Linked DNA regions of Sus scrofa. The protein of the gene in region 3 purifies or fractionates together with the protein of the main gene of each other region. This does not show direct contact. Links are inferred from orthologs where the notes say so. Each region holds a gene or a part of one and is shown on either strand. Other genes may lie near its edges. The genes, in order: GAN, SYNC, VIM, SQSTM1, NES and XPNPEP3.

The links.
Region 1: the proteins of VIM (region 3) and GAN purify together in Homo sapiens (affinity purification with mass spectrometry; 3 studies listed by BioGRID and IntAct, counting the BioPlex papers as one, with this or other methods). This does not show direct contact. The link is inferred for Sus scrofa from reciprocal best matches to the Homo sapiens genes VIM and GAN.
Region 2: the proteins of VIM (region 3) and SYNC purify together in Homo sapiens (affinity purification with mass spectrometry; 3 studies listed by BioGRID and IntAct, counting the BioPlex papers as one, with this or other methods). This does not show direct contact. The link is inferred for Sus scrofa from reciprocal best matches to the Homo sapiens genes VIM and SYNC.
Region 4: the proteins of VIM (region 3) and SQSTM1 purify together in Homo sapiens (affinity purification with western blotting; 3 studies listed by BioGRID and IntAct, with this or other methods). This does not show direct contact. The link is inferred for Sus scrofa from reciprocal best matches to the Homo sapiens genes VIM and SQSTM1.
Region 5: the proteins of VIM (region 3) and NES purify together in Homo sapiens (affinity purification with mass spectrometry; 3 studies listed by BioGRID and IntAct, counting the BioPlex papers as one, with this or other methods). This does not show direct contact. The link is inferred for Sus scrofa from reciprocal best matches to the Homo sapiens genes VIM and NES.
Region 6: the proteins of VIM (region 3) and XPNPEP3 purify together in Homo sapiens (affinity purification with mass spectrometry; 3 studies listed by BioGRID and IntAct, with this or other methods). This does not show direct contact. The link is inferred for Sus scrofa from reciprocal best matches to the Homo sapiens genes VIM and XPNPEP3.

What each region holds. Positions count from the first base shown.
Region 1 is NC_010448.4:6,950,989-6,955,449, forward strand, and holds part of GAN (gigaxonin), read right to left. Parts: intron 2,895-4,461; coding exon 2,677-2,894; intron 2,325-2,676; coding exon 2,203-2,324; intron 1-2,202. UniProt on the Homo sapiens protein: Probable cytoskeletal component that directly or indirectly plays an important role in neurofilament architecture.
Region 2 is NC_010448.4:89,009,009-89,013,469, forward strand, and holds part of SYNC (syncoilin), read right to left. Parts: intron 1,253-4,461; coding exon 1,128-1,252; intron 958-1,127; coding exon 828-957; 3' UTR 1-827.
Region 3 is NC_010452.4:43,514,691-43,519,637, reverse strand, and holds the start of VIM (vimentin), read right to left. Parts: upstream 3,198-4,947; 5' UTR 1,999-3,197; coding exon 1,436-1,998; intron 812-1,435; coding exon 751-811; intron 1-750. UniProt on the Homo sapiens protein: Vimentins are class-III intermediate filaments found in various non-epithelial cells, especially mesenchymal cells. Vimentin is attached to the nucleus, endoplasmic reticulum, and mitochondria, either laterally or terminally.
Region 4 is NC_010444.4:78,760,948-78,766,167, forward strand, and holds the start of SQSTM1 (sequestosome-1), read right to left. Parts: upstream 3,052-5,220; coding exon 2,733-3,051; intron 623-2,732; coding exon 527-622; intron 40-526; coding exon 1-39. UniProt on the Homo sapiens protein: Molecular adapter required for selective macroautophagy (aggrephagy) by acting as a bridge between polyubiquitinated proteins and autophagosomes.
Region 5 is NC_010446.5:93,418,552-93,422,882, reverse strand, and holds the end of NES (nestin), read right to left. Parts: coding exon 1,487-4,331; 3' UTR 984-1,486; downstream 1-983. UniProt on the Homo sapiens protein: Required for brain and eye development.
Region 6 is NC_010447.5:7,579,871-7,584,844, reverse strand, and holds the start of XPNPEP3 (probable Xaa-Pro aminopeptidase 3), read left to right. Parts: upstream 1-1,864; 5' UTR 1,865-1,982; coding exon 1,983-2,046; exon of another isoform or gene 2,047-2,347; coding exon of another isoform or gene 2,348-2,363; intron 2,364-4,974. Other genes in the region: ST13 (hsc70-interacting protein), read right to left, coding at 1,240-1,349. UniProt on the Homo sapiens protein: Catalyzes the removal of a penultimate prolyl residue from the N-termini of peptides, such as Leu-Pro-Ala. Also shows low activity towards peptides with Ala or Ser at the P1 position.

The DNA.
Region 1 (4,461 bases), on a different chromosome or scaffold from region 3:
ACATCTGAATACACAATAAATAAGAATTTTCCAGACTTGATGAAAAGACCAAGCTACAGGGTCAACAAGATCAACAATCTCCAAATGCAGTAAAATTTCAAATAAAATGTTCACCTAAGCACAGTGTAGTGAAAGGCAGGACAACAAAGACAAAAAGAGCCCAGATAAAAGACAATTTTATTTTATTTTTTGTCTTTTGTCTTTTTAGGGCCACACCCACAGCATATGGAGGTTCCTAGGCGAGGGGTCTAATTGGAGCTGTAGCTGCTGGCCTACACCACAGCCACAGACCCAGGGGATCCGAGCCGCATCCTCGACCTACACCACAGTCACAGCAACAGCAGATCCGAGCCACGTCTGTGACCTCCACCACAGCTCAGGGCAATGCCGGACCCTTAACCCCCTGAGCGAGGCCAGGGATCGAACCCACAACCTCACGGTTCCTAGTGAGATTTGTTTCCACTGTGCCATGACGGGAACTCCAAAAGACAATTTCAAACTGACAACTGACTTAACAGAAGTGGGTGGAAAATCTTTCAGTGTGCTGAACAAGAATAGATGCCAACCTAAAAGTTTATACCCAGCAAAAATATCCTTAAAAGATGAAGGCAAAATAATTACATTTTCAGACAAACAAGCAAAAAGAGTTTGCTACCACTAGAATCACATTAAAGGAAATTCAAAAGGATGAACTTCAAAGAGAAGGAAGACGATCCAAGCTGGAAAGTTTGAGTAAGAAGGAAAAACAAAGTGGTAAATATGAGAATGAAGCTAAACAAATACTACCTATACATATGTGTCTAAAACAGAGTAATAAACATATGTATACAGATATTTACACATAAGTAATCATATATTTTGATTCTGTAAAACTGTGGGATGTGAAAAATAGAGTCTAAATGTACTGATTGACTTTTAGACTTTGTTAACCTAACAAAAGAGGCTGTGGTTTCTCAGGTAACCTTCAAAGGAATATAGATAAAGAATATAATTTCTAACTTGGTGGAGAGGGAAAAAAACTGAATGACAAAAAAAGTCAATTAATTCTTTTGAAAAAAGGCAAGAAAAGAAAAAAGAGGAACAGGCTGGACAAAGAGGAACTACTCAATCTGGACACAATTCCTCTCTTCATTGTCTCCCGTTTCTGAAATGCCAATTCCTCTGGTAGGTGTGCACGTGTGAAAATTATACACATGTGTACACATTATGGGAGGAAAATTTAAGGAAGTTAATTCTGAGAAAACACAACAAGGAAATCAGACCCATCTCCTGGTGCCTACACCACTCCATCCTGCTGATTATTACTGATAAAAACTCCAATAACTGTGGAACCTATAAAATGATTCCACTTCTACTCAACAGCTTCAGCCATTTCTAAAATGGGGCACAGTGTGGTGTAACGTAAAACTGTTAAGGTAATGCCAGTGGGCAAATAGAGACCCTAAAAGAAGGACTCCCGGAAGACTGCCGAGAATAACCAGAATGAAGTGGGTGGCACCTGTGGAATGAACCCAAAGGCAGATCCAACGTGAGGAGGAGAAGGACAGCAAGGCTGACCTTTCCATCACCTGCTGGAGTGAAAACTGTGCATAACATGGAGCTCTGCTCAACGTTTTCTGGAGTAAAATAACTTTAAGCCATAAATAATTTAAGTAATATTTTCTCAAGCCTCATAGGAAATGCCTGCTTTTACAGGACACTTTTATTTTGGATATATTTACATGCTGTAATTCTAAGCGCATGAATTTCAAAGATGGGGGACCATCACTGCTCAAAGAAATTCTGCATTTCAGGTATGATCATACAGCCAGCTGGTGGTAAGAGCCACTGAGTCTCAAAAACCGGGGCAAAAATGGGAACAATAAAGACCTCAGGCATTCTTCTTACCATAGTCTTGAAACCTAGAGCTACTTTGAAGATGTCACCACAGGGGGATAATCTGTATCTTTTAATCTTTTAATGCCTGTAAAAGGTTTTGAGTCATTCTGTACAACCCTGAAATTACATACTCCTTTATTTTTTGTTTGTTTGTCTTTGCTGTGCTCGTGGCATGCAGAAGTTGCCAGGCCACGGAGCAAAGCCACGCCACAGCTGTGACCAGAGCCACAGCAGTGACAAGGCTGGATTCTTAACCTGCTGAGCCACTGGGGAACTCCACATTCCTAGATCTTGTGTTAAGTAAAGTTGACCACAGCATGGTACCTGCTGAGAGGACTCCGTGGTTAATTCTCGGCATGCTTAAAGGGGCCAGTTCAATCCAAAGCTGCCTGTTAGGGTCGTAAAGGGGGCACATGCATCGCATCGCCGCTGTTGGCTTCCGTGAACTAAGAAGACAAAGAGTCGATTAGCAGTTCATGTGGCTTGGGGAGCTCTGCTCATAATAACCATGACTAGTTGTACTGCTCTAAAGGATGTTTAAAATATTTGGGCTTTGGCCACGCGGAAGTTCCTGGGCCGAAAACTGAACCTGTGCCACAGCAGCGACCTAAGCTGCTGCAGTGGCTACTCAGGATCCTTAACCCGCTGTGCCGCAAGAGACGTCCCTAACATAGATTTAAAAAATCTATCGGTAACATGCTTTAGATACTGAAACATACTATGAATTCCTGTTTACGCGGAAATCCCTCTTTCCTGACACCGCCACCTCTCTCTGAAACCACGCACGGCCACACTTACACCCGCTCTTCGCCACCGACGGTCACGATGCACTCCGAGTACCCCCGGGGCTTGAAGCTGGCGAGCATGGCCTCGCCCTGCTGCGGCTGGCTGAGCGGGATGTTGCTGCACTCCTTGACGATCTCGCGGACCAACGGCTCACTCAGCATCTGCTCCCGCAAGTAGCTGGAGTCCAACCCTGAAACCCAGAGTGCTGACATGACGTCCTTCATGTGGACCTGAAAGCACGGGCAGGGAAAACGCAAGAGAGCGACAGTTTGCAGAGTTTTACGTCTTCCGAAGCGCGGCAACTAAAATCGCTCAACAGGCAGGTGGTCAGGGCCAGCCCTGGGTGGGGGGGGGCCCGGGAGCCTTTCCCTTCTACCTCCCATGGCTCTGATAAAAAGGCTTAATGTGCAATAGCATCACTCCGGATTTACATGTGATGCACCGCTGTGAAGTTTCAATAATATTATTAATATTATTAATAATACATTGTTTCTATAATATTAATGTGGAGACATTTTCTCTATCTGGTTTACCATATTCTTAACCCACTGAGTGAGGCCAGGGATCAAACCTGCAACCTCAAGGTTACTGGTCGGATTCATCTCCACTGAGCCACAACGGGAACTCCGAATTTTTTTTTTTTCTTTATACAGCTGCACCTGTGGCATAAGGAAATTCTGAGGCTAGGGGTCAAATTGGAGCTGCAGCTGCCAGCCTACACCACAGCCACAGCAACTCAGGATCTGAGCTGCAACTGCAACCTATGCTGCAGCTTTTGGCAATGCAGGATCCTTAACCCACTGATCAAGGCCAGGGATTGAACCTGCATCCTCAGGGATACTAATCAGGTTCTTAACCTGCTAAGCCACAACAGGAACTCCATAATTATGGATTTTAAAAGCCACTCTGGGGAGCTCCCTCAGCAGTTAACAAATGTGACCACGTAGGATCCATGAGGACTCAGGTTTGATCCCTGGCCTTGTTTAGTGGATTAAGGATCCAGCGTTGCTGTGGCTGTGGCGTAGGCCACAGATGCAGCTCGGATCTGGCGTTGCTGTGGCTGTGGCGTAGGTCACAGATGCGGCTCGGATCTGGTGTTGCTGTGGCTGCGGTGTAAGCCAGCTGCTGTAGCTCTGATTCAACCCCTGACATTCGACCTACGGAACTTCCATATGTCGAATGTACAGCCCTAAAAAGGAAAAAATGAAAATAAATAAACTAATTAATTAAATAAAAGCCACTCTGAAACCTAATATATTTCTTTATTTTTAAATACAGTATTTGGAGCTAGTCTCTAATGTACAAATATTAGACTTAAAGCCCTGTCATCTGGCTCCCTCCCCCAACATAGTAACACGGTGGATCATGAGCCTGATACTCCCTAAGACCCTCCCAGACTGTCACTCCCAGAACCCTCCTATTTGGAACTGCACTGCCACAAAAGCTCCCGAGGACTCTCCTGCTTTCTCCTTGGGTGACGCCAATCACTCCAGGGAGCGCCCACGCCCCTCACCCCTCTGCCAGAACGCCTTGTGCCCTTTTCTCACCCCACTCCTGCGTCAGAGCCCCTGCGGGGTTAGCGCGACTCCGTAGCAGGGAAGGACGCTGAACGCTGGGTGGGGTCAGGAGCACACATGGCGCACTTCCGTACCCTTCAGCTTAAGCGTGAAACACAGTTCCCATTAAAAGCAACATGCCGTAGTTCCCACTGTGGTGCAATGAGATCAGAGGCATCTTGGGAGCGCTGGGATGCAGGTTCGATCCCCAGCTCAGCACAGTGGGTTAAGGACCTGGCAT
Region 2 (4,461 bases), on a different chromosome or scaffold from region 3:
AGCTTTGCCACAGCTTGGCATAGGTCTCAGCTGCTGCTAGGATTTGATCCCTGGCCTGGAAACTTGGATAGGCTGCAGGTGTGGCTAGCAAATAAAAATTAAAACAAAACCCTAGGAAGTTAGGGGAAGTACCAGTTATAATAATTATTTGTGAATTTGTATCTAGGATGTAGGATTACTTAGGGAATTAAAAATTATGGACATTTGGGAGTTACCGCTGTGGTGCAGTGGGTTAAGAATCCAACTGCAAGGAGTTCCCACTGTGGTGCAATGGGATCAGAAAAGAAAAATCTGACTGCAATGGCTTGGGAATTTACATATGCTGGGGTGCGGCCATAAAAAAATTAGGGACATTGATCTAGTATTGAACTTGACAGACCTTTTTTAATCCTTAGTTTCTTTATCCAGGAGAATATGAAGAATAGAGAACATACTGTTAAGTAAAGAAATTAGTGGATAAGTGTTGCTTGTTTAGCAAAGTAAGCAACAGTTATGTACCTTTAGTCTATAAACAACACCCTCTTCAGCTTCTGACACAACTGTTAACAGTTTAATTTAGCCTTTTTTGTCATAGTCTGAATCAGGCAGCATAACTGAGTTAGCAGATGGGGTCAGGTAGGATGAGGAAAGTAGAAATGCACAGAACCTAGATGTTGTATCCTGTTCTAGACTTCCTGATGATAATTCAGGCAAACTTTAAGTCCTGCTAGAAATTGAAACACTCCAAATGAAGCCTGAATGCATTTGCAGGTATATGTTATCCCTAAATGACTTATTTGTCATTAGACACACACTTAGTATTTTTTTAAGGCATTAGTATTTTTAGATTAGGAAAGCAGCAATTCAATGCAAACACCATTCTTGTACCCACAAGGATCACCTTGAGACTGTGTCTCAATTCCACCCGCCTCAGAAGTGGGAGCACTAGCCCGTTCCAGGCTCTTGGGTAGCATAGCCCTTAAAAAAAAGAAAGCCATTTTCCATCTGTCTAAGGGTGAGCACAATTTGAAAATCACTTCTCAAACTACTTTTTTGGCTTTTCACTGTCAAGAGAAATTTCCCCTGAGCAACATCAGCCCTCCCCAACGTTGGGGTTGGTTGAGATTTGGGTAGAAGCAAAAACTGACTTATAAGTTGAGAGCTCTTCAGCAAGGCTGATCCTTAGCTGCTCCATCTCTTTGTTCTTCTGTTGCTGGAGTTGCACCCCACTTTTTAGCTGCCTCTGCCGTTCTTCCATTTCCTCCAGCTGTTCCTGCATGAGAGGATCAAGAACATTTCTGATGAGCCAAACAAGAAAAACCTGACATTGTAATATTACAAAGCACTTTCTTACACATTGTTTAATCTGCAGAGCAGTGTTGAGGTTGACTGACAGATTCATTATCTTAAGAAGCTGTGGGGGGTTTTGGCATGCCCGTGGCACGAGAAAGTTCCCAGGCTAGGAATCAAACCTGAGCCAATGCAATGCAGTGACAAGACCTTAACCCACTGTGCTACAGCCAGCTCCAAAGACATTGTTTTGACATACTATTTTTGAAAGTGGTGACCTAAAAGGCATCTTGCCTGTTTACTACAGCTTTCTTTTTTTTTTTGTCTTTTTAGGGCTGCACCTGCAGCATATGGAAGTTCCCAGGCTAGGGGTCAATTAGAGCTTTAGCTGCCAACCTCTGTCACAGCCACAGCAATACAAGTCCGAGCCACATCTGCAACCTATACCTCAGCTCAGGGCAATGCCAGATCCTTAACCCACTGAGCCGGGCCGGAGATTGAACCCCCGTCCTCATGGATACTAATTGGGTTTGTTACTGCTGAGCCACAGCAGGAACTCCTAATCATGTTATGTTGAAAGAAATCAAGTCTTTGTGTAAGTAATTTTTCTTGAATATTAACTAGAATTTTAGGAAAGTTGTTCTATAACAAGTCCGTTTTTAGAAGATGTTTGAGTTGTTTATTCAAAGGAAAAACGGTAAATATGGTTTTATATTTGAAGCTCCTTTAAGTCAGATATCTTAGTACTTACTATAAGGTGCAAATAGATGCTTTATTATTGAGGATATCATGGTTGTTCATTTTCTATATCCTTTGCTTGCTATGCATAAGGACAGTTGATTCTAAAGTGCTAAGTTGGAAGGTGGAGGTGTTATGTCCTGGAGGCCCTCAGGGGTCCTCACATGACTGCTTCCCATTCTACTGAAACTGGGCAGGATGTGTTCTGTACATTGTCTCTGCCTAGGATTAATACCTGAGGAAAGACCTAAGGAAGATGTCAGCACATCGGTCTCTGGCTTTATAGCTAGCTGACATGGGCCCCCAGGAAGCATTGGGGGAGTTGGGAAGGGAGCACTAGAATTGGAAGATATTTTCATTTTTTTAAATTTGTTTGGTTTTTTTGGTCACACCAAGGATCAAACCCAACCCATAGCAGCAACCCAAGCTGTTGCAGTGTCAACACCAGATCCTTAGCCCACTGCACCTTGTAGGAAATTCTTCAAAATTCTGATTTTGAAGAATAATAACCTAAGAATCCAAGTTTGGGTGCATACTATCATTAAAAGAGCCTAAATAATTCGTTCTTTGAGTAATTCTTGATATATCTGTGGCGTGTCAATCTGCAGTGTTTGATACTCTGGTTGAATCTCAACTTTCTTTTTTTTTTGTCTTTTTTTTTTTTTTTTTTGTCTTTTTTGCCATTGCTTGGGCCGCTCCTGCGGCATATGGAGGTTCCCAGGCTAGGGGTCTAATGGGAGCTGTAGCCACCAGCCTACACCACAGCCACAGCAACGCGGGATCCTTAACCCACTGAGCAAGGCCAGGGATCGAACCCGCAACCTCATGGTTCCTCGTCGGATTCGTTAACCACTGAGCCACGACGGAAACTCCTGAATCTCAACTTTCATCAACATTGGCAAAAGGTCTTTTTTAGTGCCTAACCACATTTCCACACAGATGAGGCCTTAACCACCTACGAGCATGTTCTCTAAAGGAGAGCATCTGCATATCTCTGTGCCCCACTTTCCCAGGCCTCAAAAGTACATGCTTGGGAAGGAGTCTGCCCCATCAATGATAAGCTCTTAACAGAGGATGAAGTATTGTTAGAAGGACAAGCATTAAGGACAGTCTCCAGTCAATCATATGAGGCACCACTAGGTTAACTTCCTAAAACTGCTTTATCATCTCCATCATTTATAGGCTTTCCACTTTCTTTAGTCTGGCATTCAGACCCTCTCTAGTTTGACTAGACCTTCCATTTCTCCTCTGGTTTTCACTGTCCAGTATGGAAGTCACTAGCCACCTCTGTCTACTGAATACTTGAAATAGAGCTAGTCGATGTGCTGTAGTGTAAGATAACCCAGCAGATTTCTAAGACTTGGCATACACACATGAAATGTGTGGGTATACATATAAATGTGAGTGTGTGTATGATACTTCAAATTTTTGTTTTGTCTTTTTAGGGCCACAACCTGCGGCATGTGGAAGTTCCAGGGATGGGGTCGAATTGGAGCAGCATTTGCCAGCCACAGCAAAGTGGGGGCTGAGCCACTCTGCGACCTACACTACAGCTTATAGCAAGGCCGGATCCATAACCCACTGATGGAGGCCAGGGATCGAACCTGCATCTTCATGGATATTAGGTTTGTTACCGCTGAGTCACAACAGGAACTCCTAATGCCTCAGGTTTTAATCATGTTGCAATGATAATATTTTTGATATATTGAGTTAAATAAAATGCATTAATTTCACCTGTTACATTTTTAGTGTGGCTACTAGACATTTTTTTGTTTGTTTTTAATATTATTATTTTTATTTATTTATTTTGTCTTTTTAGGGCCGCACCGTGGCATATGGAAGTTCCCCAGCTAGGGGTCGAATCTGAGCTATAGCTGCTGGCCTGTGCCACAGCCACAGCAACACCAGCCGAGATGGGAACTCCTGTTTTTTTTGTTGAGTTGTATGAGTAGTTTGTGTATTTTGGAGAGTAAACCTTTGTCAGTTGAGGATCCAGCACAGGCCACAAGTGCTGGCCCAGTAATTTCCACATGCCGTGGTGGAAATGAGGTTTTGGGATCGATCCCTGGCCTTGCTCAGTGGGTTACAGATCTGGCGTTGCCATGAGCTGTGGTGTAGGTTGCAGAGTAGCTCAGATCTGATGTTGCTGAAGCTGTGGTGTAGGACAGCAGCTATATCTCTGATTTGACCCCTACCCTGGGAACCTCTATATGCTGTAAGTGTGGCCCTAAAAGGCAAAAAAAAAAAAAAAAAAAAAAAAAATCAAAAAATGGACAAAAGACCTAAAGAGGCATTTCTCCAAAGAAAACACACAGATGGCCAGCAGGCACATGAAAAAATGCTCAACATCACTAATTATTAGAGAAAAGCAAATCAAAGCTACAATGAGGTACCACCTCACACCAGTTAGAGTAGCCATCTTAACAAGTCAACAACAAATGTTGGAGAGGATGT
Region 3 (4,947 bases):
ACTTGTGTCCAATTAGAACTCTGCTTACATCATTACATACTCAATAAGAATGTAGCCTGTTGCAAAGAGTCTCTGGGAACACAAAGACTCCTATTATTCCTGTCCAGAGCCACCACACTTGCCAGAATGTCTGTATCTACATTCCATAGTGAAGCCCATAGAAACCATTAATACCTTTCAGCCAAGGGGACAGATGGCTCCTTTTCACCCTTATTAGATCACAAAATAGTTGTGCACACGGATACTTCCATCTAACCTTAGGCCACAATAGAACTTGCATGGAAGAAAAGAAACTTGCTGGCTTAAGTCCAGTTAAACCAAGTTTCTAATTCTCCAATACATTGTACACTTGAAACTAACGGGGCAGAACTCCGCTTTGTGTGGCCCTGTAAAAGTTAGCTAGCTTGACTTTGGCAAACCGAAGTCTGAATCAAACTGTAACTGTTCGAGATCAGAGTATCAGTGTGTTGCAGAACCGAAACGGGAAAAAAAAAGTCATGTCTTGGGGGAAAAAAATCTTGAAACAAAGTCAAAAAGACTTTATTCACGTCCTATGGAAGGAACGGTTTAATCGTTCGAGGGTTTTTAAGGCGGAGAAGCTCCCAACTGTGGTCTTTCTGCCACTAGGGGGCTTGGCGAGCAGACGAGAAGTTTTGCACGATTTAGACTTGGGTTAAGTAACTTTGAGAACTGCCCGTAGGTTGGGTGGGTGGGGTCGGGTGGCTGCAAGTGGGAAGAGAATCTACAAACCTGTCTGAAAGACTGCAAAGTGCTCTCGGCTTCCTCCCTCTGAAGCGTCTCCTCCTGCAACCTGAAAGAGATGCACATCAACCGAAGGGGAACTGGGAAACCGCCAGGGGCGTGGCGACCACACCCAACCACCACGTCTTCGCCGCGAGACAGCCGAGTTGCTGCGCCACCTCTGTGGCAGTCGGCGACTATGGCTTTTAGAACTGCTGCCTTTGGCAAATCTCAAAGGGACCCTGGCCGCTGCGTAAAAAGCAATCGCAGTTGCTACAATGACCTGGGAGGCGAATGCCACCACCCCACTCCCCCGTGAAGATTCTGCAATCCCTTTGTCTCGCTTCCTACACCGCTCCTGGGGAAAGAGCAGCCCGTCAGAGGGGACCAGGAAACTTTCTCAAAGTTTGGGGGAATCGCACTGATCGTTTGCAGGAGCCTTCGAGTAACAACAAAGTGGTAGTTTTAAGAAATCTGAATTTTGGTCGTTCTTGGGCAATGAGTCGGGGTAGAGGGTAAATGCTAACTTGCAAGATCTGGGTTCAGGGCAGGGCTGCGCCGCAGCAGCCACAGCGCTCTCCCCCCGCCCACCGCGTACCCCAGGCAGCCACCGCCCCAGCCACATCCCCAAGGGCGTGTTAGCTTCGGTTCCCCTCTGCCGCCCTCCTGAAGCCCCGCGGGCGCTTAGTCTTACTTCTCCCGCAGCCGCATGATGTCCTCGGCCAGATTGTCGCGCTCCACCTCGACGCGGGCCTTGTCGTTGGTGAGCTGGTCCACCTGCCGGCGCAGCTCTCGCATCTCCTCCTCGTAGAGGTCCCCCAGGCGCGACTTGCCCTGGCCCTTGAGTTGCTCGAGCTCGGCTAGCAGAATCTTGTTCTGCTGCTCCAGGAAGCGCACCTTGTCGATGTAGTTGGCGAAGCGGTCATTCAGCTCCTGCAGCTCCACCTTCTCGTTGGTGCGGGTGTTCTTGAACTCGGTGTTGATGGCGTCGGCCAGCGAGAAGTCCACCGCGTCCTGCAGCAGCCGCACGCCGGGCACACTGCTCCGCAGGCGCACGGCCGAGGAGCGCGTGGCGTACACGCCGCCCGGGGACGAGGTGTAGAGGCTGCGGCTGGTGCTGGGACGCAGCGCGCTGCCCAGGCTGTAGGTACGGGTGGACGTGGTCACGTAGCTCCGGCTGGAGCTCGGCCGGCTAGCGGTGCCAGGGCCGCCGAACATTCTGCGGTAGGAGGACGAGGACACGGTCCTGGTGGACATGGCTGCAGAGGTGGCAGTGGGCTGGGCGGCTGCGGTGGCGCGGACTGGCTCCGGGAGGAGAGGCGAGCGAGGGAGCGGTGGGTGTGGGCAAAGGGAGCGCTGCTGCGTCTCTGGCGCGGGGACCCCGGAGCAAGAGTGGCAGAGGACGGGACCCCGCCGAGGGCGCAGTTTTTATAACCGCCTTAGGATGGAGCGTTCCCTCCCACTGCCATCCCGGCGGCGGAGTGCGCCAGCCAATGGGGACCCGGCGAGAGGCGGGAAGGCTGGCCTGGGGTTTGGGGCGGGGGAGCCCGGGAGCCTCCCTCCTCCCCCCTCCTCCGCAACCGGGACTATGCTCAGTCCCCCAGTAACTTGGAGGCTGAACTGGAACTTTTGGGGCTTTCCTGAGGATGGCCTGAGGTGTGCTCACCTCTGGGTGATGAAAAAGGCTGGGTCCCGCGGTGATGGGGGAGCCCTCCCTAGACTGAACCACAAGGGTCCCGGGCACCCAGCCAGCTAGGGAGGCGTAGGAGGAAGCGTGCGGGTGGGAGGGGCGCGCGGCCCCTTGGCTGCGGTCGCCTGGAAGCGCGAGGGTGGGGGGGCCCCGCGGGTAAAGGAGCCGGAAGAGAGGAGTGAGGGATCCAGCAGATCGGAAGGCGTGGAGAAAGAAACAAAGAGGGCCTGAGATTGGAGCGCGAGGTGGGGGCGCGCACAGCCCGGGGCGCAGGGCTCTGGGCTCTGCGCAGCCTTGCGCACGCCTGCTTGGACAGCGGGACCAATCCGGCCCCAACTTTCCTCGTCCTCCTGTAGTAGGAGTTCCTGTTCAGGGACCTAACCGGCTGGGCCCGGCTTTGGACAAGGAGCTGCAAGGAAGTGGCCAAGGAAAGCCCAGGGGAGATGGGTGGGGTCGCTGAGTCACCACTGGCAGTGAGTCACTGCGCTCTGCTGTCCCGCCACCGAGGTTGAGGAGTCCTAGCGGTTCAGGAAAACCGTTAGACGAGATTGACTTTCGTCTCCCCGGGCCACTGTGCGAGTACTGTTGGTTCTAAGTTTTACCCAACTTCGAGCTGGGCTCTGCTTTCTTATGTGCCGTTCGCTGGTTTGGAGTCTAGAGCGCTCCTAAATTCTTAGGAACGCGCCCAATCCAGATTTTGCTCCAATATGCTGGCTTCTCTTTAGTAAGAAACTTCCGCGGAGGCTCTGTAACCGCCAAACGCCGGTCTCCGGCCTCACAAAGGCACTTGGGGAGGGTTTTTCTTGCAAAGTTTCCTCCCGCCTCCCCTCCGGTCTCCTCTCCGCCTTCCTCCACCCCCTCCCCCCGTAAAACCGCACCCGACTTTTAACAAGATCTGAACGTTTCTGGGTGAAAGAGGAAACTCTGTAGTTGCAAAATCCAATTGAGTGATCACTGCTTTTTCTGCTGTAGTGAGAGACATTAAAGATATAATCTACACCAATTATAGAATTAAGTAGATGTTGCTTTAAATGTTTAATTTGATTAATAAAAGGCAGTTATGTAACTCAAGGGACTGAATGTTTGAGACTAGATTTATGTGTTCATTTTAGTTCACGCATGATGCACAGCGCAGGATTCTGGTGACTTGTCTGAGAAATGTCACAGGTCCCTTAGCCTATTTTCCAGAAGAATTCCTGCAATTCATCTTGGAGTGAGGGGGATAAAGCTGTCTACAGAAGGAGAAAACTTTTGGTCCAGGGCACAAGGGCGTGTTCAGATTCCAACCTGAAAATCTTTCTAGGTAAATCACTCAACTGAAGGGGTTTTGTTGGGAATGAGTAAAGCGCAGAACAGAGAAGAGAGTCTGTCAGTGATTTCGTAGCAATTTAAAAATCACAGGTTTTCGTCGTTATTGTTGTGGTGTTTCAGTGTTTAGAAGAGTTGAGTATTGAACGGATTAACTCCAAAATCACTGCAAAAGTAGAAACATCTTGATTCAGTGGTGGATGTGGAGGGAGATAAAATTCTTCCCTCTGCTTTTGTGTTTTTGTTTTGGAAAGGGGGGCCCTGAAGGTTGCCTGGCATTTAAGAAAAAATAGTTCAGAACCAAATGAAGGGTTTATTTTCACTTCTTTGTACAAGCCTCTTTTAGGCAGTGTTTTGTTTACCTCCTTTCAGTTCGTTCTGGCCGGTGGGGCTGCCAAGGTCGCGCTGCAGGACCCCTTGCTGTACCGCTCCCCCGCTGTGGATTGCCTTAATTCTCTCCCCGCTCTGCGGGTCCCTCCCGAGGCGCATTCCTGGGGTGTGGCGTCCTAGCGGGCCCACTTATGCTCTGAGAGCCCTTTATGCGAGCTCCGCTCTGCAAATGTCACTATTGTGAGTTTGCCTGGAACCCTTCGGATGAGAAAAAGCCGTTTCCCTCTGGGGAAAGGGAGGGTGGACCTTCCTCCCACCTAAAATGCTGATCCCAGGACAATGCGCTGGTGCTGTCAGGGGACGCTTGCTGACTGAGTCACCACGGGGAAATGAGGGCAAGGCTCTGGTGCGGTGTGGCAGGGTGCCCTGTTGGTGACCAAAGCACATTCCTCAGGTCTGTGGGTGACTCCCTCTGGGGGGGACGCTGGGGCCTCATCATCATCTCGGGGGGTATCCCTTCTCCTTTGCAACCTGTCCCCAAGCTGTATCCTTAGGATGGGTGTGTGTGTGCTTGCTGTCTCAGCTCAGGCTGCTACAACAAATTGCCATAGGCTGGGTGGCTTAAGCACCAAACATTTATTTCTCCCAGCTGTGGGGGCAGGAAGTCCAAGATCAAGGTGCCAGCTGACCTGGGGTCTGCTGAGAGTCTGTTTGGTAGTTTGCAGGTGGCCACCTTTTGCTGTGTCCTCATGTGGCAAAAAAGAGGGCAAAAGCTCTGATCACTTCCTTTTCTTATAAGGACACTAATCCTGTCCTAAGGGCCCCACCCTCATGACCTCAACTAAAACCTAATTACCTTCCAAAGGCCCCACCTATAA
Region 4 (5,220 bases), on a different chromosome or scaffold from region 3:
CGCACGGGGGGCGGTGGTCCCGCCGGCACTCCTTCTTCTCTGCAGGGAGGGCAGAGAGTCGGGAGACTCGTGAGCCACAGAGAACTCCCCCCACTCCCCCCGCCCCGTCACTACCACGGGGCCATCACAGTCAGCAGGCCCCAGCACCACTCTTCAGACACCAAATCCACAGGAATTCAGTGGTTCAAGTGACCATAACCCAGCAACATGAGACTCTCTGGGAAGTTCCCTGTCTCTGCACCTGGGACCTGGGCATGTGCAGCCTGGCCGGCGTGAGGCAGCAGGGAGTTGCGTCTGCACCATTTTAGACTTGTCCGGCACTAAAATCAACCCCAAAGCTGGCCCGCAGGCACAATAAAGAGGGAACCCAAAGACCCTCTGACCTCCCCACCATGGTGGACACGGACCCTTCCTCAGAGACGATCCCGGCCCTGCCTTAAACGGCCCATAGTCTCCTCACCCCTTCTTTGGAGCAACTTCTCCATGACCTCAAGCTGGTTTGACTCAGCACAGAGCAGCCCCTTACCTTTAATGTAAATACGGAAGATGTCATCCTTCACATACGACATCGCCATCGTCAGTTCCTCGTCACTGGAAAAGGCAACCAAGTCCCCGTCCTCATCTAGAATGTTTAAAAGACAGCGCATCAACACCCAGTTGGACACAAGCTGCTGAAAGGACTGAGGCCAGTGCCAAAGGGGCCTGTGCAGGGCTATAAACTGACGCCCACCTGGGTGAGCCAGGGGCAAGCAGGGCTGGGGCCGAACTTCTCATTCACCCTGCCACTGCCTGGAAGGTGAGCACTCCAAGCTGGGCCCAGGCACACTTGGGAGGTGGAGTGCCTGTGTGCAGTGGGCAGCAGTGGTAGCACCCAGCCACCTGCCACTCTGCCTCTGGGCCAGCTGCTCTGTCAGAAAGGTGCTGTCTCCATCTACATCCAACCAGACCCTGTCAACTGTGGGAGGTCCCCATCTGCAACTGGCTCCTTGGCGTTCCAGCCCCTCCAAAATTCTTGGACCTCTTGTGGCTTAGGAAAGTAGAATATATCTTCCTGCTTCCTCCCCAACGAAGCTAAAATTATGTCTTTGTATGAAGCCTCCAACTTTTAGATGTCAGCTGAAATGATTTAAAGCACCACCACACAGAACCAACCACACAATACATGTGCAAGCCAGGTCAGGTCTATGGACCACCAAACACAACATCTACCATAAAATCAGGGACTGTGTCAAAAAGCAGAAATAGGGAGTTCCCGTTGTGGCTCAGCAGAAATAAACCCGACTAGTATCCATGAGGATGTGGGTTCAATCCCTGGCCTCGCTCAGTGGGTTAAGGATCTGGCGTTGCCATGAGCTGTGGTGTAAGTGGCAGACACAGCTCAGATCTGGTGTTGCTGTGGCTGTGGCGTAGGCCGGCAGCTGCAGCTCTGATTCAACCCTCAGCCTGGGAACTTCCATATGCCTCCGGTGTGACCCTAAAGACAAAAAAAAAAAAAAAAAAAAAAGGCAGAAACAACCTAAACACCCATCAGCTAATGAATGGCTAAACAAGATGTGGCATGACCATAAGACAATATTATTCATCCACAAAAAGGAATTAAGTACTGATACATACTACAACATAAGTAAACCTTGAAAATAGTATGTAAATAAGAGATGCCAGTTACAAGACTACATATTTTTACATGAAATGTCCAGAATAGGGGAATCCATAGAGATTAGGGGTCGCTTGGGGATTGGAGGATAGGATGATGGGGATGGGAGGAAGCTAACAGAGTTGGTGTATAAAGTGATGAAAATGTTCCCAGATGATTGTGATAATGGCTGCGCAAATCTGTGAATATACTAAAAACTCAACACTTTAAACTACAGTATGTGAACAGGAACTCAAAGTTATTTTTTTGAAAAAGCTAGGGGCTGGCGAGCTGGCAGCAGTCCTGAGGGAGGTCCCGGCACGGCCCCACCCACCGGCGGGCCTGGTCCGCCCGCCTCCCTCCCAGTCACAACAACCTCCCCCAACTCCACCCCGCGCAGCCACCGGTCACGCCAGCTCAGCTAGAAACTAGGCAGGCTCGTGAGCTCTGTCCCTACACCAACACTTCTCGAGAATGTTTTCACCTTGTCCCTCTGTCCGCTGCCAACGGGATAACGTCTGGATCCCGCCTGGCCTTGGGCAACCTATGGTCTCTCCTCCCCACCTCCGGCCAGACTGTGCAGCCCTGAGGGCTCCCCACTGCTTATTTACCCTCGTCACTTTTCTGCGTAGCCAGCCCTTCCCCCTCATCTGCCCGCCCAGGCTCTTCCGGGTTACTATCCGAACCCCCCATCTGGGGCTAGCGGGCCCCAGCTGGGCAGTAGCCAAGTGGCAGTGTAACCCGAGTGCCCCTCTAACCACCCCGTGCCCGCCGTGAGGACGCCCCCGCGCGCCCTCCCCAAGATCTGCACCATCATGGTGGGGGGAGGGGAGGCCTCTTACGTCGCCGGGCCCGATCCGCTAGGGGACTGGCAGCGCCTGACCCCACAGGTCTGGCTGTGGTCACCACTCCTGGCTACCAGAATGGCACCCAAGGCCGAAATGGGAACCCACGCGGGCCACCGCCCACCCAACGAGCGATCAAACTCCCGCAGGCGGCCCCAAGCCCCACGAGAAGGAAGGGAGCAGCGACCCTGCCCGGCAGGGCAGCACTGCGTCACGGCCCCGCACCGCTCCCCGAGAGCGCCCGGCCTGCTCACCGCGGTAGTGCGCCTGGAAGCCGCCGGGCCGTAGCACGGGGAACAGGGCGGCCACCCGGCTCAACAGCCGCTCGCAAGGTCCGGGGCCAGCCGCGGCCTCGGCTTCCGCCTCGGGCTCCGGGCTGAAACAGAAGCTGAAGCGGCGAATCTCGCGGGCCGCATCCTCCTTGCCCAGAAGGTAGGCCTTCACGGTGAGCGACGCCATGACCACCAGTTGGGGAGCAAGAGAAGAGCCCGGCGGTGGTAGCGGCGGCGGCGGCGGCAGCGGGAGGGGACGCGCGGCCTTTGTAGGGAACGCGGGTGAAGCCCCGCCCCTCATCGCTTCCTGGGGGCGGGGCCTGAGTGTCAGAGGTCTGGCTCCAGCCACCCCGGCCGTCGCGCGAGAGCCGCCCTACAGGAGCCCCAGCCTCGCTACCTCTCCCCGCCGTTGAGCCCCCTCATTCCCGACCCCTCTCCTCACCGCCCCAAGTGCACCAGGGACACCAAGAGGCCGGCCCCGCACGCTGACATCTAAGTCTGGCGCCTACCTCTATACCTGGGGCAAGGGACCGGCCAGGGTCCCGCCCTAGACCCCTCCCAGGCCTGACCAGGCCGTGACTCAGCAAAACGGAACCCAGGCCACCGGGGATGCACAGCTCAGGAGGGAGGTGGGCAACAGAGGCTGGAAGCCAGGAAGAGGGGACACTGCTGACACTGCTAGCTACAACAAATTGGCTCCCGAGGCGCTGTCTTGACCTTGCCACTCTTGTCAAGGGCCCGCTCTTGCCACCAGTTTCTCAGGTGGCAGCCCACTACGCCGCCCCCAGCATCCCCCCTAATGGCCCTTTACTGGGTTAAAGCACAGACACTCAACTCAAACCTGAGCACCAGAGGAGCTTCCAGTTTAATAGGGGGTAGGGTTGAGAGATGCCAGAAGAGCACAGGATCTTCCCATCCCCACCTTGCTGGGGGGTCTGCTAAGGCTTCCTGGAGCCTCAGTGGCCACCAAATGTTCACTGAAGCCCTAAGGACTCCCCATCGGTACTCCCCATCCATCCCCACTTGTCAGCTCAAGGTTCAGCTCAGCAAATGGTGCCCAATGGCCTGAAAGATCTCAGGTCTGTTGGCCTCATGGGCAGCCCAGGGATTACATCAACAGCCCCCACCCTACCCCACCCCCAGGAGCCAAGAAACACTCTTTTATGTAACCGAAGTGACCTGTTCAAAGTGCCTAGGGGAAGGGGGTTGTTGGGGGAGGAGGTGCCTTAGAAGAAGGTAAGCAGGCGGGTATGTCACCCTATGAATCCTCCCAAGTAGGGCTCTGTAGGTAGAAAGTCAGACCTGCTGAGTCACACTCACTTTTTTCATGGTGGGGTTTGTGGAAGTCAGTAAAACTTAAAGGGATGGGAGTTCCCATCGTGGCTCAGCGGAAACAAATCTGACTAGCATCATGAGGACGCAGGTTTGATCCCTGGCCTTGCTCAGTGGGTTAACAATCTGGTGTTGCCCTGAGCTATGGTGTAAATTGCAGACTAGCCTCAGATCCTGGGTTGCTGCGGCTGTGGTGGAGGCCAGCGGCTACGGCTCTGATTCGACCCCTAGCTTGGGAATCTCCATATGCCTCAGGTGCAGTCCTAAAAAGACAAAAACAAACAAACAAACAAAAAACCTTAAGGGAATGGGAAACCCAGAGACCATGGGGAAGGTAGATTGGGTTTGGCTAGTTTGCTGACTTGCTTGTGGAATCACAGCAGGAACCTAGCCACAGATGTGGCTTGTTCCTCCCAGAGAGTTTCAGAGTAGGTGAGGCTTTGAACCCCTGCCCAAAGCAGGGCTGTGAAGAGGACAGTCACCCTCTCATGATTCTCCCTTCATTCTTGCTGTGAGCCTGGGAAATTTACCCTCCCTGTCCACTGCCCTACAGACAGGGTTAAGGAACACAGAGCAGGCAGTGCTGGGCAGAGGCTGCAACAGCCCACAGGTGCCCCCATATGACTCAGCAACCTGGGAGCCAATCAGCCCTAGGCAGGCCAGGCAGGCCAAGAGCCTGGCATCCTGCATCCTAGAGCTTGATTGTCCCCATCTGCAAGCATGGGGGTGTGCTAGGAAAGCCCCGTGGCTCTGGGGAGCCTCCAGTTTCAGGGAGGTCTCCAGGCACAGTCTCTGTCTAAATAAGTAACTGAGACAGATGCTGCCACCAGCAACACCTTTGCTCTCTTGCCTTTTAGCTGTTTTGGGACAGTGGTGGGTTTGCAGGGAGCGATGGAAAGCTCAGGGAGAAAGGAGGTGGAAGAAAACGGGACTCTGGGAAGCAGGGAGACCCCTGCTCCTTGGGAGCCAAAAGTTCTAGCCTTCCCAGCATACCCCGCTGCTGAGCCCTGCCCTCCCTCTAGGCCTGATAAAGGTAAACAAGACGGCAGCTGGGGAACCCCCTGGCAGGGCCCTCTCCGCCTGTGCTTGTGGTCAGGTGGCCTGGCCAGCAGTGAGTCAGCATCCCATGACCTGCTGT
Region 5 (4,331 bases), on a different chromosome or scaffold from region 3:
TTTGGCTGCCCAGAGGCATATGGAGCTCCGGGGCCACGGATTGAATCCAAGCCGCAGTTGCAACCTAAGCCACAGCTGCAGCAACACTGGATCCTTAACCCATTGTGCCGGGCTGGGGTTCAAACCTTCGCGTCTCAGGGCTCCCAAGATCCCATAGCGCTGATCCCATAGTGCCACAGCCAGAACTCCTCCCCTCACTCTTGTTTCACTCCCGACAGCTTCAGTCTATCCCCCTCCCCCCTCCTGCCTTCCCTGTCTCCCTTTTCAACACGGGAGAAAAGTCCTATTCAGATCTAAGCTGTAGCCCTCCGGCTTCTTCCCTTGGCCTCCCTCCTGCTGTCCCTGCCCTTGGGGGGCCCCCAGGTCACCGGGCCCAGCATCCCGCACTGTGTGGCTGAATCGAGGTTCGAGGTTCAGAGAGGTTAAACACTGACCTGAGGCCACACAGCCCAACTAACGGCAGAAGAGGCCTCCCTCCCGTCCCTCACCCGGCTCTGACCCGCCAGACTGAGCAGACACTAAAGCCAGACAATTGTTTGGGTTTGGGGGAAGGGGGCTTATTATGCTGGCGGCAGTGAGAGCCGGGAGGACAGGCGAGGGTGGGGGTGGCCGAGGGCCTAATCCCTGTAATCAGCGCTGCGGGCAGAGATGATGATGGGCCTGGTCTCTGCCAGCCCCGAGGTCACCTGGGCTGGCCCCTCCCTGTCCCCATCAAGCGCACCGCACCCGCAGCACTCCCCGGTCCCCAGCCCTGCTGCCTGCAGTCTTAATCTGTCTTCCCTTTCTTCCACCCCCCTCACCTCTGCCTCCCAGGCTCTCCCCTGCTCCCCTGCTTAATCTGTCTCCCCCTCCTTCCCCCCTCCCCGTCCACCCCCCCACCTCCCTCCCCGCCTCCCAGGTCCTCCTCTCCCCACCCGCCTCTTCTGCTTCTGTGTCAGCCCTGACCGAAGCCCCCCCTGAATTGAGGAAGGAAGAGTCCAGACTTTGTAAGTGGAGGCAGTACTTTATTCAGGCAGGGATGAGGCAGAGGGGGCCACAACAAGGCAGGAATATGGGGGGATCAGGACACAGGAGCACCCCCTCACCCTCATTAGCCACTAACCAGATGCCGGCCCAAGCCCCGCCCTGTGAAGAAAGGCAGAGCCCCCGCCCCCCTCAGAGATTTTCCAGCTGATGGGAGGAGGGGAAGGGGTGCCCAGAAGAGGGGCCCTAGTTATTGAGATTCAGTTGGCTTCAGCCTCAGGGGACAAGGCAGGCAGGATGGCCCCCTCTGCAGGGTCTGAGGGTCTGAGAGTTTACTCCTGGAGCCTCCATTCGTGGGACAGGTCCCTTTGCCTCACCCATCTCACCTTGGCCAGCCTGGCCTCTGAGACAGAAAGGGCAGGTCAAGAGATCATAGTTAAGGGTGCAGCCCCCTCAGTGGGAGGGGCGCTTGGGGACATCTCCCCCCAACACAAGTCCTCAGTGCCCTAGGGGAGCTCCCTCTCTAGTCCTCCCCTGAGGACCAGGAATCTCCATCTCCCTCTCTCTGAGTGAACGGCAGGAACTGGCTCTGGCCCAGGTGAAGAGGAGCCCCTGCCCAAGGGGTCTTCAGGGCGCCCCCCTCCTCCCCCTCCAAGGGGGTCCCTTGGACCCCCTCCAGGGCCCCTGCTTTCCCCTGCCCCACACCCACAGGCTGCTCCAGCCCATTCACCACCCCCCCATTCACATGCTCCAGCTCTTCCTTCAGGCTGGGGCCCTGGCCATTGACACCAAAAGTGTCCCCTACCTCCAAGGCCATGTCCTCCACCCCACCGAGGGTCTCCAGAGGGCCGGGGATGTGGTCCTGCCTCTCCAAGGGAGCAGCAGCGGACTCTTCCTCTGAGCCCAAGGCCTCAGCGCTGTCCTGGGACCCAGTCTCCAGGGCAGTCATGGGGGCATCGAATGCCACGCCCCTCGAGCCGTCATCCCAGGGGACACTGACATCCACGGCCTCAGACCCCAGGAGGCTCCCTCTCTGAGGGTCACTCAGGGCCGGGAGGCTGCCAGCAGAGGGCCCTGGCCCGCACCGCCCAGCCCCTGGCTTCCTGCCCTCCTCTTCTTCATCTTCTTCCTCTCCTTCCTCCCCGCTCTCCTCATCTGCAAACCCGTCGGACTCCCCATCCCGATCCCAGGCTGCAGGCTCCAGAAGCAGCTGGGGCACCTGGCCCAAAGGTTCTGCCACCTGCCCAGGGACCCCAGGAAGGAGAGACGCCTCCGTCCCTAGGTCCTCAAATTCTTCTGACAGTTCAGAGTCACGGCCACGTTCCTCCTCCTCATCTCCCTCCTCCTCTGAGGGGTGGGCCCCCAGGCCCTCAGGGGCCAGGGCAGCGGGACCCCAGCCTTCCTTCCTGGTCTCCCCTTGAGGGGAGGGCCTCTGCTCTCCAGCCAGGTCCCACTTGGGGGAAGCAGGGGACCTGAGGTAGAAGCCCAGAGGAGTGGAGTCGGGGAGGGTCTCCCCTAGCTCATCGGCCTCACTCTCTTCTCTGCTCTCTTCCTCCTCCTCCTCCTGGAGGCCCTCAGGGATTTCCCCAGAGCCCAAATCCTCCTGCTCCCCCTCAGGGACCTCAGCCCTGCCCTCCAGCCCCCAGCCAGTCTCTTGGGTCCCCTCAGCCAGGCACTGGGGCCCAAGTGCATCTTCAGGGTTTGGGGTGGGTGATGAGGACTCAGCGGGCCTTGGGCTGGGGGGCCCCAGCACGGATTCTGCCTCTTCCTCTGCTCTCTCTGACCCCAGGGGCCTGGGTTGAGGGGCATCACTTCCACTGTGGTGCAAGGTCTCAGTGGGGAAGGCCTCCTCTGCTTCCCCAGGGGCCTCAGGCTTTGATTCCTCCCAGCCGCCCGGAGCCTCCAGCAAGTCTCTCCTCTCGCTGGGCAGTGCAGCGAGCTCTGGCTCCAGAGCAACCGCCTCTGCTAGCTCCTTTCTGGGCCCTTCCAAGCCCTGCACCCTCTTTGCTTCCAAACCTTCTTCTCCCAGGGGTGACTCTGTCACATCCTCTCTGGCCAGGCCACCTGACTCCTCCAGGCTTCCTGCCTCCTGCTCTGGCCCCTGCTCCGCTCCCATGGACTCGGACTCGCCCACAGCAGCCTCCAGCCCCAAGGCGACCTCTGGGGAGGCTTGGCCATCCGCAGGGGGCACATCATCTTCCAACACGGGCTCTATCACCTCTGAGATTCCCTGGGGAGCTCGGAAGCCTGGAGCCCCCTCCTGCCCTGGCCTCTCTTCAGGGTCTTGGAAGCCCTGGGTGCCTCCCTCCCCACTGGCTCCCTCAGCTGGGACGCTCTGCTCTTCGGGCTCAAGGCTCCCTGGCTGCCCCCCACCTGTGCTCCAGGCCTCCCCCGTGGCCTCTCCTGCCTGCTCTCCAGCCTCCCCCTTGCCATCGATGCCATCCTGTTCTCTCTGATCCAGGTCTGCCTTGTCCTCACTGTCCACTCCAGCCTTCCCAGGGGGCGCTTCCTGATCCAGTTCTCGTTGCACCCCGCCCACATCGTCCCACTTCTGTTGATGTGCAGAGGGTGGCGTCGCCTGTTCCTCCTCCTCCAGAGACCTCGGTGGCTCTGGAGTCTCTCTCTTCTCTACGTTCTCTTCCGCTTCCAGGTACCTCTGACTTTCCTTGCCTTCTTCCTCTGGAGATCTCCAATTCTCTAGGTTCCTCTCTCCCAGGGAGCTCAGTGATGCTCGATGCTCCTTTTCTAGGGGGCTCAATGTCTCTTGGTTCCCTTCCCCAGACCCCAGTGGTTCCTGACTTTCCTCTTCTAGACGTTTCGCTATGTCTTGGTTTTCCTCTCCTATAGACTTCAGTGCTTCTAGAGTCTCCGTTTCTGAACATCTCACTGCCTCTATACTCTCTTCATTTAGGGACCTTAATAACGCTTGATTATCTTTTTCTAGAGGTCTATCTATCTCCTGGGCTTTTTCAAGAGATTCTAGTGGCTCTGGTTTCACCTCTTCCAGAGGTCTCAGTGTCACCTGGTCTTCTTCTCCTAGAGACTTCAGTGGCTGTTGAGCTTCTTTTTCTAGAGGTCTCAATGTGTCCTGGTTCTCATCTTCTGGAGACCTCAGTGGCTCCTGATTCTCTTTTTCTGGAGATCCTGTTGTCTCCTGGTCTTCTAGAGACCTCAGTGACTTCTGGTTTTCTTTTTCTAGAGGTCTCAAAGTTTCATGACACTCATCTTCTGGAGCCCACAGGGACTCATGATTCTCTTTTTCTAGAGGTCTTACTGTCTCCTGATCTTCTTCTAGAGACTTCAGTGGCTCTTGACCCTCTTTTGCTAGGGGTCTCAATGCTTCCTGGTTCTCTATGTCTTGAGATCTC
Region 6 (4,974 bases), on a different chromosome or scaffold from region 3:
TTGGCAAAAAGGTATTCTAACTTAGCAATTAAATCACTACAGTAACTAATCCTTAAGTAGTCTCAGAATTTTACATAAATAACATGAGGAAATATCTTATTTAGAGTAGCTAAAAAACCAGTAGGGAAGGGAGGAGAACTGAGAAACTTCTTAGAGAAAAAACATTATTATCCCACCAAAAGCTGATTGATCTGAACTTAAGTTTCTTCCTTAGAACAAGCTTACTGGAAGACCCATTCTTTCAAATATTTGCTAAACATGGGTTCAATGTCCCGCGCAAAAAAATTAGTAAAATAAACAGATCATTTAGGGTAGTACCTTTTAGGGCTCACATTGTTTTGCAATGTCGCTATTTATCACTGCGCGGTGCAACTAGTATGTCACCTCTCAAAATTCCTCACGTAGTAGTGAATTTTAAAAATCACTTCGGGAAAGATTTCCCTTTCTCCCTTAAATTCCTCCACAAAACGCAGAATACTAATCTCTATTACACGCTACATATCAAAACGAATTTTTGTATTTATTCATCTGTATCCCTAAATAGATTGTACTTATACTGTTTCCTCGCTAGCATTTGGCACAACGCCTGTTCAGTTAATTCCATGCACGTAGCGACGTACTCTGGAGTTAAAGATAACAAGAACAGATCGTGTTAACACGCGGGTCCTCGAAAAATCATTTTTCTTAAAGTGCCTGAAGTGATGGTACTGCCACTAATCAGATATAAAAAGCGATTCCCAAAATGATTCTACGCCCTTAAAGTCGTTGTAAATGTAATCAAAGCTAGGTATCATTTTTACAACACTTTTAAAGACACAGTGCGTAAGGGAGTTGTTTTGTGTCACTGCGACCTAAGCAGGACACCAGATTTCAAGAAAAACAACTCCACGCGAAAGCCGAGTCTCGCAGCTCGCGCCCCTCCCCCTCACGTCTTCCGTGTCCAAGTCCCCGCAATCGCCTGCATCTCGCCCAAGACACACCCCCGGCGGCCTCCGGGGGCAAGGAACGCAGCTGGGCCTCTGCCTTCCCTGCCTCTCAACTACCTAAGCTCCCCGATCCCCCACTGGACCCTCGAGGGCGCCTAGCTTTCCCGGCCACGGAGCGAGCCACAAAGCGAAGGCGACGCCACTGGCCTCGCCACCGAGCTCCAGGCTCCGCCGCCCCGCGCCAGCTCCCGCCTAGCTCCCCCTCCGGCCGTCCCTCTTCCCACCCCCAACGGTCCTCAGGCCCGGGTCTCACCTCTCCACCCACTCCCTCAGGAAGCGCATTTCCTCGGTGTGCAGAACGCTCGGGTCCTGCTTACACATTTTCACGAAGGCTCGAAGTTCGCTCACTTTGCGGGGGTCCATGGTCCGGGCGCGGCGGGAGGCGGCGGGCTCGGCGGTGGCTGTGGCCCGATTCCAGGCCCGGGCGCTGGCTCAGCGTGGCGTAAAGGGGGCGGCTGCCGCGAGGCAGAACAGACTAGAACCTCCCCGGCCGCTGGCTCCGCCCACCCAACGGTCTCGTGACCCCGGGTCCTTCGCCCGTTCATTCCTGCTCCCTTTACCTCTGCCCTGCGCACTAGCTAGAACATTCTAGAAGTGTGGCTGTTCGTGCGGTGCCTGCCTTTGCACGCACGCATTCTTACAGCCTTAACTCAGAACCACAGCTCTGCATGGTTAAGTCCCCAGCCGTGCTTTCAAGGAGGGCAGGACCTCTCGGCCCCTGCAGGGAGCCATTTAGAACAGGACATTCTGTGAGTGTGGCCACTAAATGTAACACGACGTCATGACGCCCAAAGGGCTCTCCGGCCGGAGCAGTGGTCACAGCTCCGCACGTGACGTCAACATTGGGCGCCGCCGCGGGAGGAAAGCCCGGCGAGCGGCGCCGGCCGGAAGGGGAGGGGCGCTTGGCCGAGGTTTCCTGGCGACGCAGCCCTGCGGGGCGCCGCTTCTACGGCTGTTTTTTTTTCCTTTTCTCCCAGGTCCGTGTGCGTGGCAGTCATGCCTTGGTTGCTCTCAGCAACTAAGCTTGTTCCCGCCGTAGCAAGCGCCCGCAGCCTCTCAGGTTAGACTCACCTCCCACAGTGTCCCCTCCAAGGCTTGCTCGCTGAGAAGCCTGAGGCGCACCAGAGGGAACCACGTCGATCTCGGGAGATTCCTGGTTCGGCGGACCCTTCTCCTGCTGGGGCCTCCACTCCCAGACCCTCTGTGCGCTCCTGGGATTTCTTCTCTACCTGCTGCTTCTGGAAAAGGGTGGGCCTTGTGTTCGCTCTACCGTTGAGGTATTCGGGGAGGTTGAAATGATTGCAGAGAGAAAAGCGTGCCCTGTCTTCCCGCAGGGGCTGTCTTCACAGTAACTTGGACTCATGGAAGTTGTAGCAGGTATCACACTTGCTCAGGTGTCAAAGTGTCTCACATCGAGTGACTCTCGTTTCTATTAAGTGAACGTAAGATTGTATTTTCGTGTTTTCAAAGATTTAACAGCTCCAGAATGGACAAGAAACGAATGTTTGCTAATACAAATTCTTTTGAGTAGTTCCCTGTCAGAGATACTCGTGAGGCTTTTTATGTCTGGAAGCCTTGCTTGTTAAGGCCAGATGGAGTAGTCCGGGAATATGGGGGCCATTTTTTTAGGGTGTACTCTGTCACGAACAATTAAAGTTCTTTGCCTTTACTTGTGACTTTTGCATTTGTTGAGGCTTTGTGTAAAACGTGATTAATCAAGGTTTAGGGCAAGGTACTGTATTTGGTACACACCAAAGTATTCATAATGCTTCGTTTTGCTTCAGCAGTATAAATAACTTTAACCACCTCTTAATGTTAATATAATATACATAGATAGGCTTTTTGAATGAGTGAATGATGAATGATCCTCTTGGATCGTTGCAATTCCAATAAGTTAGAGCAAATACCATTTTACCGATGGGGAACTGAAACTAACACAGTAACAAGTAAGAAGTCAGGAATGTTAGTTGTATGATTGCCATCTAGACCTTTTGCTGTTATACCTCTACTTGGTCTTACTCTGGCTTAGTAGAGCCCTTTTGGAACTTTTTTTTGGGGGGGGGTGTCTTTTTGGAGCCACACCCATGGCATATGGAAGTTCCTAAGCTAGGGGTCTAATCAGAGCTGCAGCTGCCGGCCTATGCCACAGCCACAGCAACTCGGGATCTGATCTGCGTCTGCGACCTACACCACAGCTCACAGCAATGCTGGGTCCCTAATCCACTGAGCAAGGCCAGGGATTGACCCTTCATCCCCATGGATGCTAGTCAGATTCGTTTCTGCTGAGCTACTCCATCTTTTGGAACTTTTTAGTAAGCCAGAAAGAATGTATCTTCAGTTAACAACTTTTTAGTCGTCATTGTGGATGAATCTCCACTTCACTAGAGTTGCTCTCAGTCCAGGTAGATGTTAGAAAAGCAACGGATAAATAAGAATATAGCAAAGGATGATAATAGTGTCTTGACTCAAGTGACATGGGGGCTCAAGCAAGGCAGTAATGGGTTGTAAATATGTTATTCTAGGATTTTATTAAGTTTTAGAAAATTCCGCTGGCTTTTGGTGGTCATAAATAGAACTTTGAATGTCTGTGGTGCTCTTGCTTGTCCTTGTTAGAAAGGCCCTTCTGTGTATTGAGCACCGTAGGGAACTTTCTCTTCTGGGAAATTCAGTGCATTCTCAAAGTGAAAATGTTTTGACTAGCTAATTTGAGTGTGATTTCATTTGTTGTAATCTATAGATATTAACACCATCTAGTCATTTGAGAAAGGGCAAAATGTGGAATGATGCATCAGTTATATATATATATACTTTTTTTTTTTTGTCTTTTTGCTATTTCTTTGGGCTGCTCCCGCGGCATATGGAGGTTCCCAGGCTAGGGGTCGAATCAGAGCTGTAGCTGCTGACCTACACCAGAGCCACAGCAATGTGGGATCCGAGCCGCGTCTGCAACCTACACCACAGCTCACGGCAACGCTGGATCGTTAACCCACTGAGCAAGGGCAGGGACCGAACCCGCAACCTCATGGTTCCTAGTTAGATTCGTTAACCACTGCGCCACGACGGGAACTCCAGTAATTTATATTTAAAAAGACTAGGTCATTTAAGATAAATGTAAGTGTGAGTAAGGAAGGGGAATATTGAAAATATTAAAGATTAAGTAGAAAATGAGTTTAAAAGCCTGTTTGCAGTTTGTTCATGTAACAAACATTGAGAGAGTTCGTGGTGGTGCAGCAGTAGCAACCGGACTCGTGTTTAATCCCTGGCCTTGCTCAGTAGGTTAAGGATTCTGCATTGCTGTGAACTGCTGGTGTAGGTCGCAGACACGGCTCAGATCTGGTGTGGCTGCAGTTGTGGTGTAGGCCAGCAGCTACAGCTCCAGTTCGACCCCTGGACCAGAAACTTCCATGTGCCACAGGTGCAGCCCTAAAAAGCCAAAAAAAAAAAAAAAAAAAAAGAAAACCAAAAAAACCCAGCCTTTAATTGAGCATCACACATGAGCACTGAGCACAAAAAGTTTCTATCATCATAGGAGATAGACGAAAAAGCAAGTAATTATAATATTCTTATGGGGAGAAGGAAAAGGTGTTATTTTCTGGAGGCAGAGAAATATGGTCGTGACTTTAAAAGATTAGGAGATATTTGATGTGAGACTTGAAAGAAAGCTTTCACCAAGCCAACTGGAATAATGGAGCCATCCTGGCGGACATAACATCTAAAGTCACAGAACTCTGTAATAGAAAGACTGGTACAAAGCTTTTAAATCATTAACAAGCACGAAGAAGCTTTTTTGAAGTATGTCTTTTTTTTCTTTTTAATTTTTTGGGGTTTTTTTGGTCTAAAAAGGGCTGCACCCCTGGCATACGGAGGTTTCTAGGCTAGGGGTCGAATCAGAGCTGTAGCTGCCAGCCTACGCCACAGCCACAGCAATGCCAGATCCAAGCCACGTCTGCGACCTACATCACAGCTCACAGCAACGTCAAATCCATAA